Linked DNA regions of Schizosaccharomyces pombe. Changing the gene in region 1 together with any one later gene gives a genetic interaction. Each region holds a gene or a part of one and is shown on either strand. Other genes may lie near its edges. The genes, in order: SPOM_SPAC212.06C, cti6 and psy2.

Region 1 (3,232 bases):
CACTCATCAGATGATAGGTGTACATATGACATTGAATGGAACAGATATGATTCATTATTATAATAAAACTTATGTAATTAATTATTTTAGCTTTAAAATAAGCAAAAGCTTTGTTTTTGGTAAAATGGCTTTTTTTGGCTGTGTGGTGGATGTATTGCGGAATTTGAAGGTAAAGTAGACAAAATAGAGTTTTTTTAATCACAAACGGAGTCATTTGAACTGCATCAAAATTATCCGCGAAGTGGACTGTCGAGTACTCGTTGTTTCTGAATGAAGTCCAAATGTGGAGTTGGCACATTCAGACTCTATTCAGAGCCCATCTACTATCTATCTATCTATATTGGCATTCCCATATAATGTAATGAGCTGTTACATGTTATTTTTAATATACCGTTGATAAAATGATTTTAGAATAGAAATGAAGAAAGTAAAATTAAATAAGATTGAATTAAGATAAATAAATTATAACAAGAAAAAAAATTAAAAAAAATATAATTCTCATAAATGAATACTAGAATAGCTTTCAAATTATGTTCTAAGTTCAATAAAATGATAATAAGCATAAGTGTGTATAAACTTGATGAACATCAAGTACATCGACTATTTCACTTGTTTAAAATAAAATTTATCATTTTTAAGTCTGTTGTATTTTTTTTCTTCTCTTTATGAAGCAATTTGAGGGACTAGTACATTGTTTAAGTATAACAGCAAAGTAGGAAGGAGGAGACACAAAAATATAGTGTGAAACGTATTCTACTGTGTAGTGCGTTAATAAGAATTATCAACCCTACCCTACACTTTACCCACACATTTGTCGTACACAAAAGTATTCAGGACGGACGGATAATACAACAAAAAAAACTATAGGAGTAATGGAAGAATAGTATGCATGAGTGAAGTCTGATGAACGAGTACTTTTGATGACACTCTAATGACAATGATGTGTTTCTCAAATCACATTGGTCTAAATCTCCTATTAAAAAGTATGAGACAAAGGCATATATCTTCAATGAGTTATTGTTTTTTCTAGTGTACATATATCTGCTGGACAACCAGCCAGAGTGCAAGAGATGGTGTATTGGACTTTGCGGAATGGCAAATTTAAAACTCGCGAATTGTATTTGATGTTTGGAAGACTGATGATTTACAGCAGATACGATAAAACTCGTAATATGAAGTTTGCTGAAAAGCCAATCCCCAGGTTTCTTTCTGAGCTGCTTTCCATTTTAGCACTTCGGTACTATGTTTTGGTTCGACCATTAGAAGCATTGATGAAGTATGTGACAACCGCTGATAGGTCGAAAGTAGCTGCATGCACACTTGGATTTCATGTTTGTGATTGTTGGCGAACGATTGCAAAGAGATTTACCGTATCGAATTTTTTCAAAGGCCATCTACCAATGCATTCAGAAACCGTTGGGATTTCAAAACTACAGACACATTGCTCACTACTTTAAAGAAAAAGAACATCGAGAAAGACATGACGAGAGAATCTTATTTCGATTTACAGGCTGAACATACACGAAACACAGCGCTCTACATCTATGGACGCACTATGGACAACTTGCATTATCTGCCATCGGATTATTTCGTCAACTTTTTTCGTGCAAGCTATAAGTGGCAGGAACTATTGCAGATTCGAGACAACCCGACCCATGGATTGTTGGTAGAAACAAAGCACCCATTCATCAAGCGAGTTGATCAATTGGAGAACGCAAATGGAAAGACACGAATCATGATCGCTTAGCAAGGGATTTGGACTCGGTATCAACTATATGGGAGTGCGTTTAGTAGTACACTATAGATTACCAGCTTCATCTATGGATTATGTACAGGAGACAGGTCGAGCTGGAAGAGATGGCAAGTATGCGATTGCAGCATTGTTTTACGAGAAATATGATTCTACATGGTCGAGCTACGTGGAGGATTCGATGAAAAACTTTCTTAATGATAATACGATGTGTGTTCGATCGTTTCTCGCAAGTGAAATGGATGGCGAATGTGTATGTTGTGCATCGTTTGCTAACTGTGTTTACTGCTCAAGATGCTCAGATTCGTTACTTGGTGAAGAATCAACTGTGTCTACGATGTATGGAGTGAAACCGACATTGCCAGAAACACCGAAACCAGCCATTGCAACACATTCGCGTTATAATGCATCGTTTTCGTCTTCCCCCCCACCACAGCCAGGGAGTAGCAGTGGTATGAGTGCTATGAACACTAACACTACTAGTACTACGCCAGTGTCTGGTAAAACTTAACTACACATTACGCTGAGAGGTAAAATACTCTGACAACATTCGTTCGATTGTATAAAACAAAATCCAGCCGAAACGATTGTTGTCAGTAATCAAGATTACGATCTAAATTGAGTACCAAGACAAAACGAAATGGTTAAAAAGTTAAAGTCGTTTTTGTATGGACACAATTTCTATAAAATAGACATGAGTAAAATCTCGCTATTTGTTTGTTATTGTGGAATAATGAAGAGTCATGGGAGATGAATGTTGTAAACGATGGCATAGAATTGGTAACGAAAAGTGAAATCGTTGGGATCAACTATTTCAGTATTTTGTTTAAAGAAAATGTTGAACTCGACAAGTAATGAGAGGTGGTGCTTTCGTTAAATAATGAGTGGTGGTTACGGTTATACAGGATATGATATGTGTATGGTGAGAATGTGATGTATGTATTTGAGTATAGACAATCAGAAAATCTGTAAATAATCAAGTCGCAAGAAAAAATGAAAATAGATATACAAAGTAAAGAGATGAATGAAATGACAAGGTATCGTAATGAAAATTGAAATTGTTGAAGACGAATAGATGAGTAAATGAGTAAGTGAGTAGAGTAGATGAGTAGATGAGTAGATGAGTAAATAAGTAAATGAGTAAATAAGTAAATAAGTAAATGAGTAAAGAGAGTAATCGTTTGAATAGGACGACGATGCTCACTATTGATGATGGGTTGGTTACAGTTACATGGTTGCATTGGATATGTGTAAGGTGATAATGACGATGATTAATAAGAAATGGAATAAAGTGTCGCTATTGAATGAAAATGAAAATGAAATGAAAATAATGAGTCAGTCATATTACAAGTAAGACGGTAGATAATAAAGAATAGTTATGTAAGTTGGTATTGTGAAAGATGATGATAGAAAATAATAATTGATGAACAGATGAGATAAATAAGATGAAGATTTCGTTTGAATGAAAAGTAACGGTTCTAT
Region 2 (4,309 bases), on another chromosome or scaffold:
ATTAAACCGAGACGACGACCAGTGTGAGCGCTAAATTATGAATTAATACATCACTCGTGTATAAAAAAGATGCTTGCTTACCATTGTCTGCTGCCCTTTCCGTACTTGCGAGGGTGAGAGAACCAAACGTTTTCGTGGGCCATTTTGGTGTGAAGGTAGAGATTGTTTCAAGCGTTTCTTCTACTAGACGAAAGTCGTGACTGCTCTTCTAGGCATAGGGTAGGGCTAATATAGAGAAATACAATGCATTTCGTTATTTGACATTGTGCTCAACAATGTAAATAAAGTATGTATAGTACTATTTTTTAAGTAGAAATTGTTTTCATTAGACACTTAGTTAAAATATTTGTTCAATTGATGGAATAATCAGGATTTATTTTTTTCCTCTCCAGTACCAAGCCTTATATAACATTATATTGTAGCTGGTTTAATAGGCACTTAATGAAAGATGGATTTTCCTTCAGAAAGTAGTTATTGTGGTGTTTTCTACGTTTGATTTTTTTTTTTTTTTTTAGTTTCAAAACCTCTTGTATTTATTAAATTAGTGAGTACTTTTGAACGTTTTTACTCATTCACTTGGAAATCGGTGTACTCGAAAAACATAGCTCATTTCAAAAAATATACAAAAGTTTAACCTGTAAATAATAATAAATTATATTTCTTCAATTAACCAAACAAAAATTATATCCCTCTCATCAAAGGAACTCTAAATCTTTATCAAAATATCTATCATAAATCAACAAAGGAAACCATTAGATCATAAAAAAGTAAAAATATATGTATGTTGACATGTTCAATTGAACACATCTTTCTCCTTTTTTCTTCCTTTGCTTCTTTTTTTTAATATTACTGATGTAAATTCACACAGTACACAGCATCATCAAGTTCGACTGAATCGTTGTTCCCAATGCAATAAATCCCTGGTGAGATTGTCTACCATCCTAAGAGTTTCCTTCTCTTCTTCTGGGCCTTCTTTCGATGACTTTGTGGATGATTGATTACCAGCAGACTGAGCTGCCATTTCAACTTGAATATGTCCAATATACTCTAGCATAGAGGCAACTCTTCGCCGCATCTCAGTCATAGTGATTCTTGAGTGCAATCCCTTAGGCTTGGTTATGGTCTCTACGAACGTTCCATCCGGATGTAATTGAGGAATTCGGTGATTATCGTTCGAACTAGATTTTCCTCTTCTTCCTCCCACCTTTCTTGTTTTTGAAGGCTTCGGTGCGACAGCTGCTGGAAGATCCGCTTTGTCTTCTGCCGCTGCTTCACGTTTAGCTTTTCGCGTTGACCGAGTAGTGGTCGAAATAGAAGTAATGGTAGATTGTTGTGAGCTTTGAGGGGATGCTTCTCCAGACTCCTCTTTTACTGAGTGCTTTTCTTCATCAGCAATCTCCTCAACCGTATCTACAGTTTCTTCTTCAGGGGCATCCGTTTCAGCGACATTAGTAGTAGAGGTTTCTTTATTCTCTTCGTTTTCGTCCTTCGACTCCTTACTATCTTCTAAAATTTCATCATTCTCTTCTTCAATTTTTTGTTTTAAATTTATTTCGGTTCCTTGCGATTCATCTTGGGGAGCTGGTGGAGAAAGAGACTTCGATGAAGTTCGCCTAAAAACAGTTAGTATATCATCTATGAATATCAATGACCATACCCTCTAGATCTCCTCGGTATTAGTGACTTTTCCTTAGCAATTGCAAGATACTCTTCATAATCAAGAGCGGCGTCTCTGGAATTCATAGTAAGACGTTGCTTAGACGACTTTTTGGTTGCCGGAGATGGGGGAGTAGATGAAGATTCTTCTGTTTGACTGGCTTCTATAGGTTTTCCATTTCCAAGATACTTTGATTGTTTAGCCCTGCGGCGAAGTTAGTAACAATAGTTGAAAAACCCAATTTTTTTAATTGCTAGAAGAGAAAAAAGAATAAAATGGAGATATTTGGAAACCACTGCAATTAGTTTAAAGCATTAGGTATTCAGTGGTAAATCCATTTTAAATCCTTAAGCTCATCTGTTATCAACACTTACCCTCTGCCCCTTTGATATACTTTATGGAATTCTGGATGGCATATTTCGCAATAATATACCTCGGGAACTTCTGATTCATCAGCAAATCCCACACAGTTCCCATGTTGCCAAACTGAGCATTGATCGCACTGAATATACAGCCCCCCGTCACTAGCTTCATCGTCGGATTCGACAATTCCACAAACACAGCGGGTTACTTCTCCAGTACTCGATGTTTCATTCTCTTCATTATCGGAAACTGAGCCATTAGGCGTGTGGGGTGTGTCTACGGGAGATTTCTGAATTTTTTCAGACTCTTCCTCTTTTTCTTCATTAGCGGGAGTTGAATTACTCGGCATAATGTATAATAATCGTTTTATTAAAAAATTGTGCTGTGCGCTTGGGGAATGGTGAAGGATTGGAAGATAGGTAATACATTTACCAACTACAACATCAATGAAATATATCGCGAATTGCTGAAACTTCACGCTTTAAGTAATTAATGTATGGGAAATTTGTTTTTTTATATTCATTTAGTGATTGAATGTTTTTGGTCAAAGTCGTAATGGCACTTTGGTAATAGTTAAATAGTTGAATGGCAAAAACGTTGGATTCTAGGATTCAAGCCCAGAGGGAGACTGCCAATGCATTGAAATGATAGTTAATTAAAAAAAATTGATAAAAACCCAATTATCTTTGTAAACATAAACAGTTTAACACCTTTCATTTTTTTATAGGCCCATTTTGCCCGTTGATTTGCCCTTGACCATCGGAGAACCTGGTTTGTCTGGGAATGGTTATTTAAGTCTCCTAAAGCTTTAGCACTGTTGAATTAGATTAAGAAACTTATATGTTCATCTCAAACTTCATATAATTAAACGTATGGTTTGTTTGACCCACTTTTTATGCTATCTCTCTGTACTAATTATTATTGAAATGAGAATTGACTTGATTTGGGAATGCATATTATTATAAGCTGTATTATGAAGGTTGTGAAATCATTTCTGTAAGGTGCTGCTGCTTTTATAAATTAAAAGAGGTTTTGTAATATCGACATGATATTTGGTATTATCTCCATGTATTCGCATTTTACGATGTTCCTGCAATCTTTAGAATGGCGTATGTGCATATTTTGAAACTAAAAAACATCTTACATTTTAAAAAAGGCTTTTTCCTCGCAATGTCAGAAAAGCAACTGCTACTCGGTTCACCGGGAATTCATGAACAAAACAATGAAATTTGATTGTATTTTTCTTCGATACTATATTCAACTGACTAGATACTTATGAAATAAAATAAAAAACTATTTATATCCTTGTGATCAACGTTTGACAGTGAGAAATTGTTATAATTCTAAATTTTCTCTTTTTATTGAAATTTATTCGATGAAAAAATCAATTGTATGCTCTTCCACCACTTCGAATGCTCTATTGATATAAATATATGTCTATGAAAAATTCGTTTTATTTCTACAGAATTTACAAAATTCTCTAATTTACTGCTAATACTGTGTTCAAGTTGGTAAAATATTCGTGTGCCACAAATATCTATTTTGGTATAAATTTCTCATGTCACTCATTAATTGAGATGATAGTGATAAATATTAACAATTTTTTTAGTAATAGTAAGAAAAGAAATAATATTTCATTGCTTTTATATCTGCTGGCAAACCAGAGTAGAGCGATATCGCATCTGTATATCGTAATTTCATCTCTTTTAACAACCAAGAACGAGCATTCCACTCGTACAGCTGGGAAGGTGCTTTAATACATCGTGTACTATAATTTTTCCTATTATTTATCGGGCTTCTGAATAGATTCTACAATTTAATTTATCGAGCTGGTCTCTTTTTGTCTGCTGATTTCTATTCTACGATTTCTCAGGCGTTTTTTATTCCACGTTCTATTATTTGTTTAGAACCATTTTTTTTATATTGCATAGTTCTTATTTTCTTTTAAAATAACTTTCTTGAACGATTCTTCCAAAAAATCGATCAGTTTGCATACTCATACGCTTAGTACTTAATTGTAATTCGTAAAGTTGGTTCCTAAAAACACCAATTTTATAGCTTCCTAGATTTTTTCTCTATTCCTAGTTTGGGTTAATTTATGTCTGGGTATAGTCCTTTGTCTTCTGGACCAGCAGACGTCCATATTGGAAAAGCTGGGTTCTTTTCTTCGGTTATCAACCTTGCCAATACTATTTTGGGAGCTGGAATTCTTTCCTTACCAAATGCGTTTACCAAGACTGGTCTGTTGTTTGGGTGTTTGACCATCGTCTTTAGTGCATTCGCTTCTTT
Region 3 (5,242 bases), on another chromosome or scaffold:
GTTTAGACCATAGCCCTTCTCATCTTATCGGCCACTTCTATGCCGTCTGTCTCTATGGTATTTACCAATATGTCTTGTCTGGTCCTGCTTTGCTTATGCCCGTCCGTATCATCGAATCCTTATTGATTTTCTTACAAGCTTCGCTAGTAATTATCCCTTATATCCTTAGCGAAATGTCATCCTAAGTTTGCAGAATCAGTTCATTAAAATTAAATTATTTTTGATTTATGAATTGGTTGATTATGATTGTCTTGGCAATCACTGATAGCTATTTGGTTTTTGCCTTGTTTGGTACGTCGTTGTTTTTAAAGAAATAGTTTTAGATAGAGTTGGGTTCAAGTTTGTAATGACTTCACACTCTTTTTGTTTATTATATAAATCCCTCTGTTTTTCAAGAGTTATAAATTGCCGTTTTAATATAAAATACTTTTTTTTAATTTTTAAGCCTACTAAGTACAATTATTCGTCAGCGTTAAGTAAACAATTATCCCGAGACTACAAGACCACGATAGTAACATGAAAATTGGTATTTATTATTTTAAAAGTCCCTTAATGAACAACCCAAATCGTTTATATTATACAGATGAGTTTTCAAAACAATGATAAACCCGGGAACAAAAATACGATGTCCATATGATGATTCACTTGCATTACAATCTTCTAGAGTTTTTGGAGCTTCCCTTTTTATGTTCATCTTCTAGGAAGCGTAGCCATTCTGGGCAGAACTTGAATCGATAGAGAGTCTCTTTTTTGGTGATTCATCATCAGCTTGCTGATCATCAACTTGGAAATCCGATTTCCTTTTAGAATAACGGGTGTTTGAAACATTAATACCTGAAGATTCTGCAGAGGTATCATAAACTGCAGACTCAAGGAAATAACGATCCTCTAATATAGGTTGCTTTGGCTGCTCGCAACTGTCTTCAATATTTAGCTCAGCAGGGGCTATAGAATCAAGAACAGTACGTTGTCCAACTTTTTCTGATAATTCAGTATCGTTTTCAATAGAAAAATCTTGCTGTATTTCCCAATCTTTGGATACGTCGTCTCCAACACGTTGGTTATTATTGGAGGCACCGTCAAATTCATAACTATTTGATTCATGAGTCCCAACAGTTTTAGGGCTTCTTGAGTCAGAGCTTAAGCCATCTATTATATTTAAAAGCTCAGAAAAAGTACTGAGATTATTTAAAGATTCCAGCTGTGGTCGATAGTTTTTATTGAGATAATCCAGTGTATCTTCAGATCCCTCGGATCTTAAAAATTCAAAAAACTCTAAAGCAGCTGAGTTGACTAAATTAGTTTGGTCTTTGACCTTTAACATCAAGTCCAGAACTTTTCCGTATGTGTCAGTTTCTAACATGATCAAGGACATTTCTGACTGACGAGCGGCCAAACAAGAGCGAATAAATCTAAGGGCGCTCAAAACAACATATTTTCTATCGCTGTATAGTAATAGAGCCACTTTTGATGTAAGGGTTTTATATGTATCAAAACGACGAGACCAATAATCGTGTATACGAAAAAAATAACAAAAAAGCTCACACAAATGCATATACATATCAAGCTTTTTAACATCTAAACTCGATACATTTTCCAGCTCCAATAAAGGAGCAGCAAGCATATTAAAAGAGTTATCATAAAAATTTTCAATAAAATTAATTCCAATAATGTTATCGGTTTTATTTCGAACATTTCCATCAGCATTTCTGTAAGGATTATTGTATGCATAGCTACCAGGTAAACTTAGTAGCATTTTAAAAGCTTCAGAAATTTGAGCAAGTACTCCAGGATTTGATTCTTTATGCAAAATGTTAATTAAATTGGAAAGCAACGAATGTTGGGAAACGTGAGCATTGCTCAATGAAGAAGAAGCGTCCTTGCGATCTTGATCAAACTTTTGCCAAACGATGGCAGGTTCATGATCAATAATAGACACCAAAATATCGGAACCAGCATTTCGAACGGAATTGTTCTCATGTGACATTGCATAATCCAAAGCTTTCAGAAGATTAAATTTAACGAAAGTAGCAAATAATGCAGAGCAGGACTGGAATTGTAGCCCTTTAGCGATGTTGCAAACCTGCTGAATAAAGAATATACCGTCTTGCTTGCGTTGATCATCCTCGCCTTCATTCACATAAATGCTAAACAGTTCATGTAAAAATTTTTCATTTGTTTGAAGGTATTGAATAATATCAGCCTGGTTAAAGAAGATAAATGAATTTAGCACCGAAAAGGAGGGTTCGTCAACAATCCTTGAAACGACAACATCCCTTAGATACTGAAGCTTAAATGTCTGGTGAATTTTTGCAAGAATCCGTGGATCCTGAATGGGAACCACCTGCTTAAACTTTTTGGAATCCATTAAATATTCCCGATGGTTCGCTTTGATATTGGGGAATTCCGGATCGTATTCGAGAATACCAGCTACACACATTAGCTTTTCATCATTAGAGAACAACGATTCGAGTAAAGGGGCGTCGTTCAATTGCACTGACAGCGATTAGCAAGGATTTAACGAATCTAAAAAGTATAAAGTAGATTAACATACCAAAGCTTTTTATTATGGAACACAATCGATGAAGGTCATCTGTATTCTCTAGATCCTCACACAGAGGAAAAAGTTCAATAAGTCTATCAATATAATTTTCATTTGAAACATAACGAACCAAACTATCTCTTGATTGAATAGACTGCATATATCCATATACTGCTTCTTCAATTTCTTTTAAATTAGCAAGCTCTGGGGCTGGAAGATCGACCGTGTTTAGGTAGTTTTCATTAAGCGCCCCCTCATCCGTCAATATATCATCGTTGGAGTAACTTCTAGTTACCGATGATATTGCCTTTTGAACATTTGCTAAAAACATCCACATGTCTATACAACCGCTAGATTCTTGAAAGCTTAAAGCAAGATCAGTACCATTCAATTCTTGCCAGACTATGAGAGTTTCTTCTTGACGGCTGTATATATCTTCCGCAATCAATTGTGTTTTCAAAAGGATGGTTTCATTATCAGCTTCTGAACGCACAATGAAATAAGCCAACGGTCCCTCTATTTTTCCATCGCAATAACCGGTGCCACAGTCTACCCAGTTTTCATCTTCCATTTCGTACACTTTTACACGTCTGGGAATCGATGGCACTTCGATCTTCTGCAATGCAGCTGCAATTGCTTCGTCTAATTCCTCTTCTTCATTTTCTCCATCTGAAATTTCATCAATATTATTATTTAAATCTTCCTCTTCCTTCGTAGAATCCATTTCTACGGCGGATTAAGGGTAGACGTCAGCTTCGAATTTACGACGTTGGCGTTCGTCACCAAATTTTCAAAAGTGAAGACGAAATTCAAACGTGGTGGTGAATGAATGCAATACCGTAGATTGCACCAAGATTGTAATTATTAATAAATGTATTTCTCATTAAATGGCAATGCCGCTTTACTTAATTATTTGGTTTGCCTAAAATATAACAAATAGATTTGTTAAGCAGTGTACTATGTATATTTCACGTGCATAATTTTGAAGTGTTATGGCAGAATTATGTTCTTTATAGAGTCAAATAACTATTATATACGTGATCGTGGTGCTTTCAGTCACTATTTTTCATTGTAATTCGGTATCTGTTTACAACAATATCATTAACGGACGTTATGCATTTTAACGATGAGTACTTCACCGCTCGGTGTATATGCTGTAATCAATCCTTATATCGAGTTGTGTTTTAAACGTTTTATACTGTCTACAATTAGCATTTAAATCTTTTCGAAATAGTAAATAAACTAAATATGAATATAAATAAAGTTAATTATTGTCTAAACACATGTGTAGCCTCGTCAAATCAATTTTTTGCAAGTCAATCATGAGGCTCAGGGTACATTTGTAAAGTAATAGTTAATTTTTAAGTACAAACTAATGGTATTTATACCGATATATATATTGAAAGCTGCTAAAGCTTCGCTAGATATTCAAGTACTCTAGCAAATGCATCAATATAAATACAGTTTTTTTGCTTTTACTAAGTTTTATTGTTAAAGCGTAATACGAGAAATTTGCCAAATGAGAACACGAATTGAATTGATATAATTCCAGAAATAAAAATTATGTATTCAAGACGATGACTGTTGCGATATGCATGCTTACGAGTTTATCGATATATAAAAGACAAAGAGAGTTGAGCTTACCAAAACATATACTGATCCTTCATGGAGAAAAAACAAGATAACGAGGTGGAATTATATTCAATTGATTTAAAAAATAGAAATGAAAGTGCAAAAATAAAGCTTGCTTATGCGAAAGCGTTAGAGGAAAGCATTCTTTGTGAAACACGAAAAATCGAACAAGAAATTAAAGACCAAGTGGTTCAAAAGGAAAATAAAACATATTTTAATAACAAATTTGATAATCGATATAAATTACGCGACTTGGAAAAAAATTTAGCGGAGGAGGAGGTGAGAATTACGGAGATGCTTACTATTCAACGTCAAGACATTGCAATTGAAAGAAGGAAGAACACAAATTGCTTCAGTGAGTCTTCTCAAGTAGATCAATATTCAGTTACTGAAACCAATCTACAATATGCTACTAACATTGGCTTAAACCTTCTGCAACAGTTGCGGTATTTAAGGCTGCAACTGTCAGAGAAAGAAGATTTGCATAAAAAGTTGTCAGTGGATAATGCCCATTTAATCAAGCAACTTGATCTACTTTCTTCAAACATGAAAACACTTATGAAAGAGAAGACTAAGGTGCAAGGACAAAGGGATTTGCTTGAACAAAGACTACAAGGATTAATGAAAAAATTGACAGAAGTAGAGTCTTTGACCGTTTCACTTAACGATGAGAAGAACAAACTGACATTGGAATTAACAAATTTAAGAATTTGCCTTCACGAGCTTCAACTGAATGCCGAAAAAGGCGAAACTATAGATGAAAGTGAAGATTCTAAAAATACTTTGGTAACTGAGGATGAAAACGACGATTCTGTATTTTTGGAGTCTTCCTCGGATAAGTATTTTGATAGTTCATCTTTTGATGCGGAGCAAGAAGAGAAACACGATTTTCCAATAGATCCTTTTTTGTCGTTGGAATCCAATGTACAAACTTCGGTATCTCAATCATCGGCCGTTCTCAAATCCATCAATTTAGCAAAACAGGAGTTAGTGAGTGTAAATCATTTGGTAGCTGACGATACTAAAACACCGTCTCCAAATTTATCATCGGAAATAATTGAAAACACA

What was found.
Region 2: mutations in SPOM_SPAC212.06C (region 1) and cti6 together harm fitness more than expected from each alone (negative genetic interaction), as found in Schizosaccharomyces pombe (one large-scale study listed by BioGRID).
Region 3: mutations in SPOM_SPAC212.06C (region 1) and psy2 together harm fitness more than expected from each alone (negative genetic interaction), as found in Schizosaccharomyces pombe (one large-scale study listed by BioGRID).

Annotation. Positions count from the first base shown.
Region 1 is NC_003424.3:16,297-19,528, forward strand, and holds SPOM_SPAC212.06C (DNA helicase-like protein), read left to right. Parts: upstream 1-1,775; coding exon 1,776-2,010; exon of another isoform or gene 2,011-2,052; coding exon 2,053-2,261; 3' UTR 2,262-2,678; downstream 2,679-3,232.
Region 2 is NC_003423.3:512,276-516,584, reverse strand, and holds cti6 (Rpd3L histone deacetylase complex PHD finger subunit Cti6), read right to left. Parts: upstream 2,431-4,309; 5' UTR 2,370-2,430; coding exon 2,032-2,369; intron 1,862-2,031; coding exon 1,658-1,861; intron 1,614-1,657; coding exon 881-1,613; 3' UTR 632-880; downstream 1-631. Other genes in the region: rps29 (40S ribosomal protein uS14), read right to left, coding at 1-30, 82-143; vacuolar amino acid transmembrane transporter Avt5, read left to right, coding at 4,119-4,309. UniProt on the Schizosaccharomyces pombe protein: Could be a component of the RPD3C(L) histone deacetylase complex (HDAC).
Region 3 is NC_003423.3:893,868-899,109, forward strand, and holds psy2 (serine/threonine protein phosphatase PP4 regulatory subunit 3 Psy2), read right to left. Parts: upstream 3,548-5,242; 5' UTR 3,267-3,547; coding exon 2,555-3,266; intron 2,497-2,554; coding exon 698-2,496; 3' UTR 505-697; downstream 1-504. Other genes in the region: squalene monooxygenase Erg1, read left to right, coding at 1-185; dynein-anchoring factor Num1, read left to right, coding at 4,208-5,242.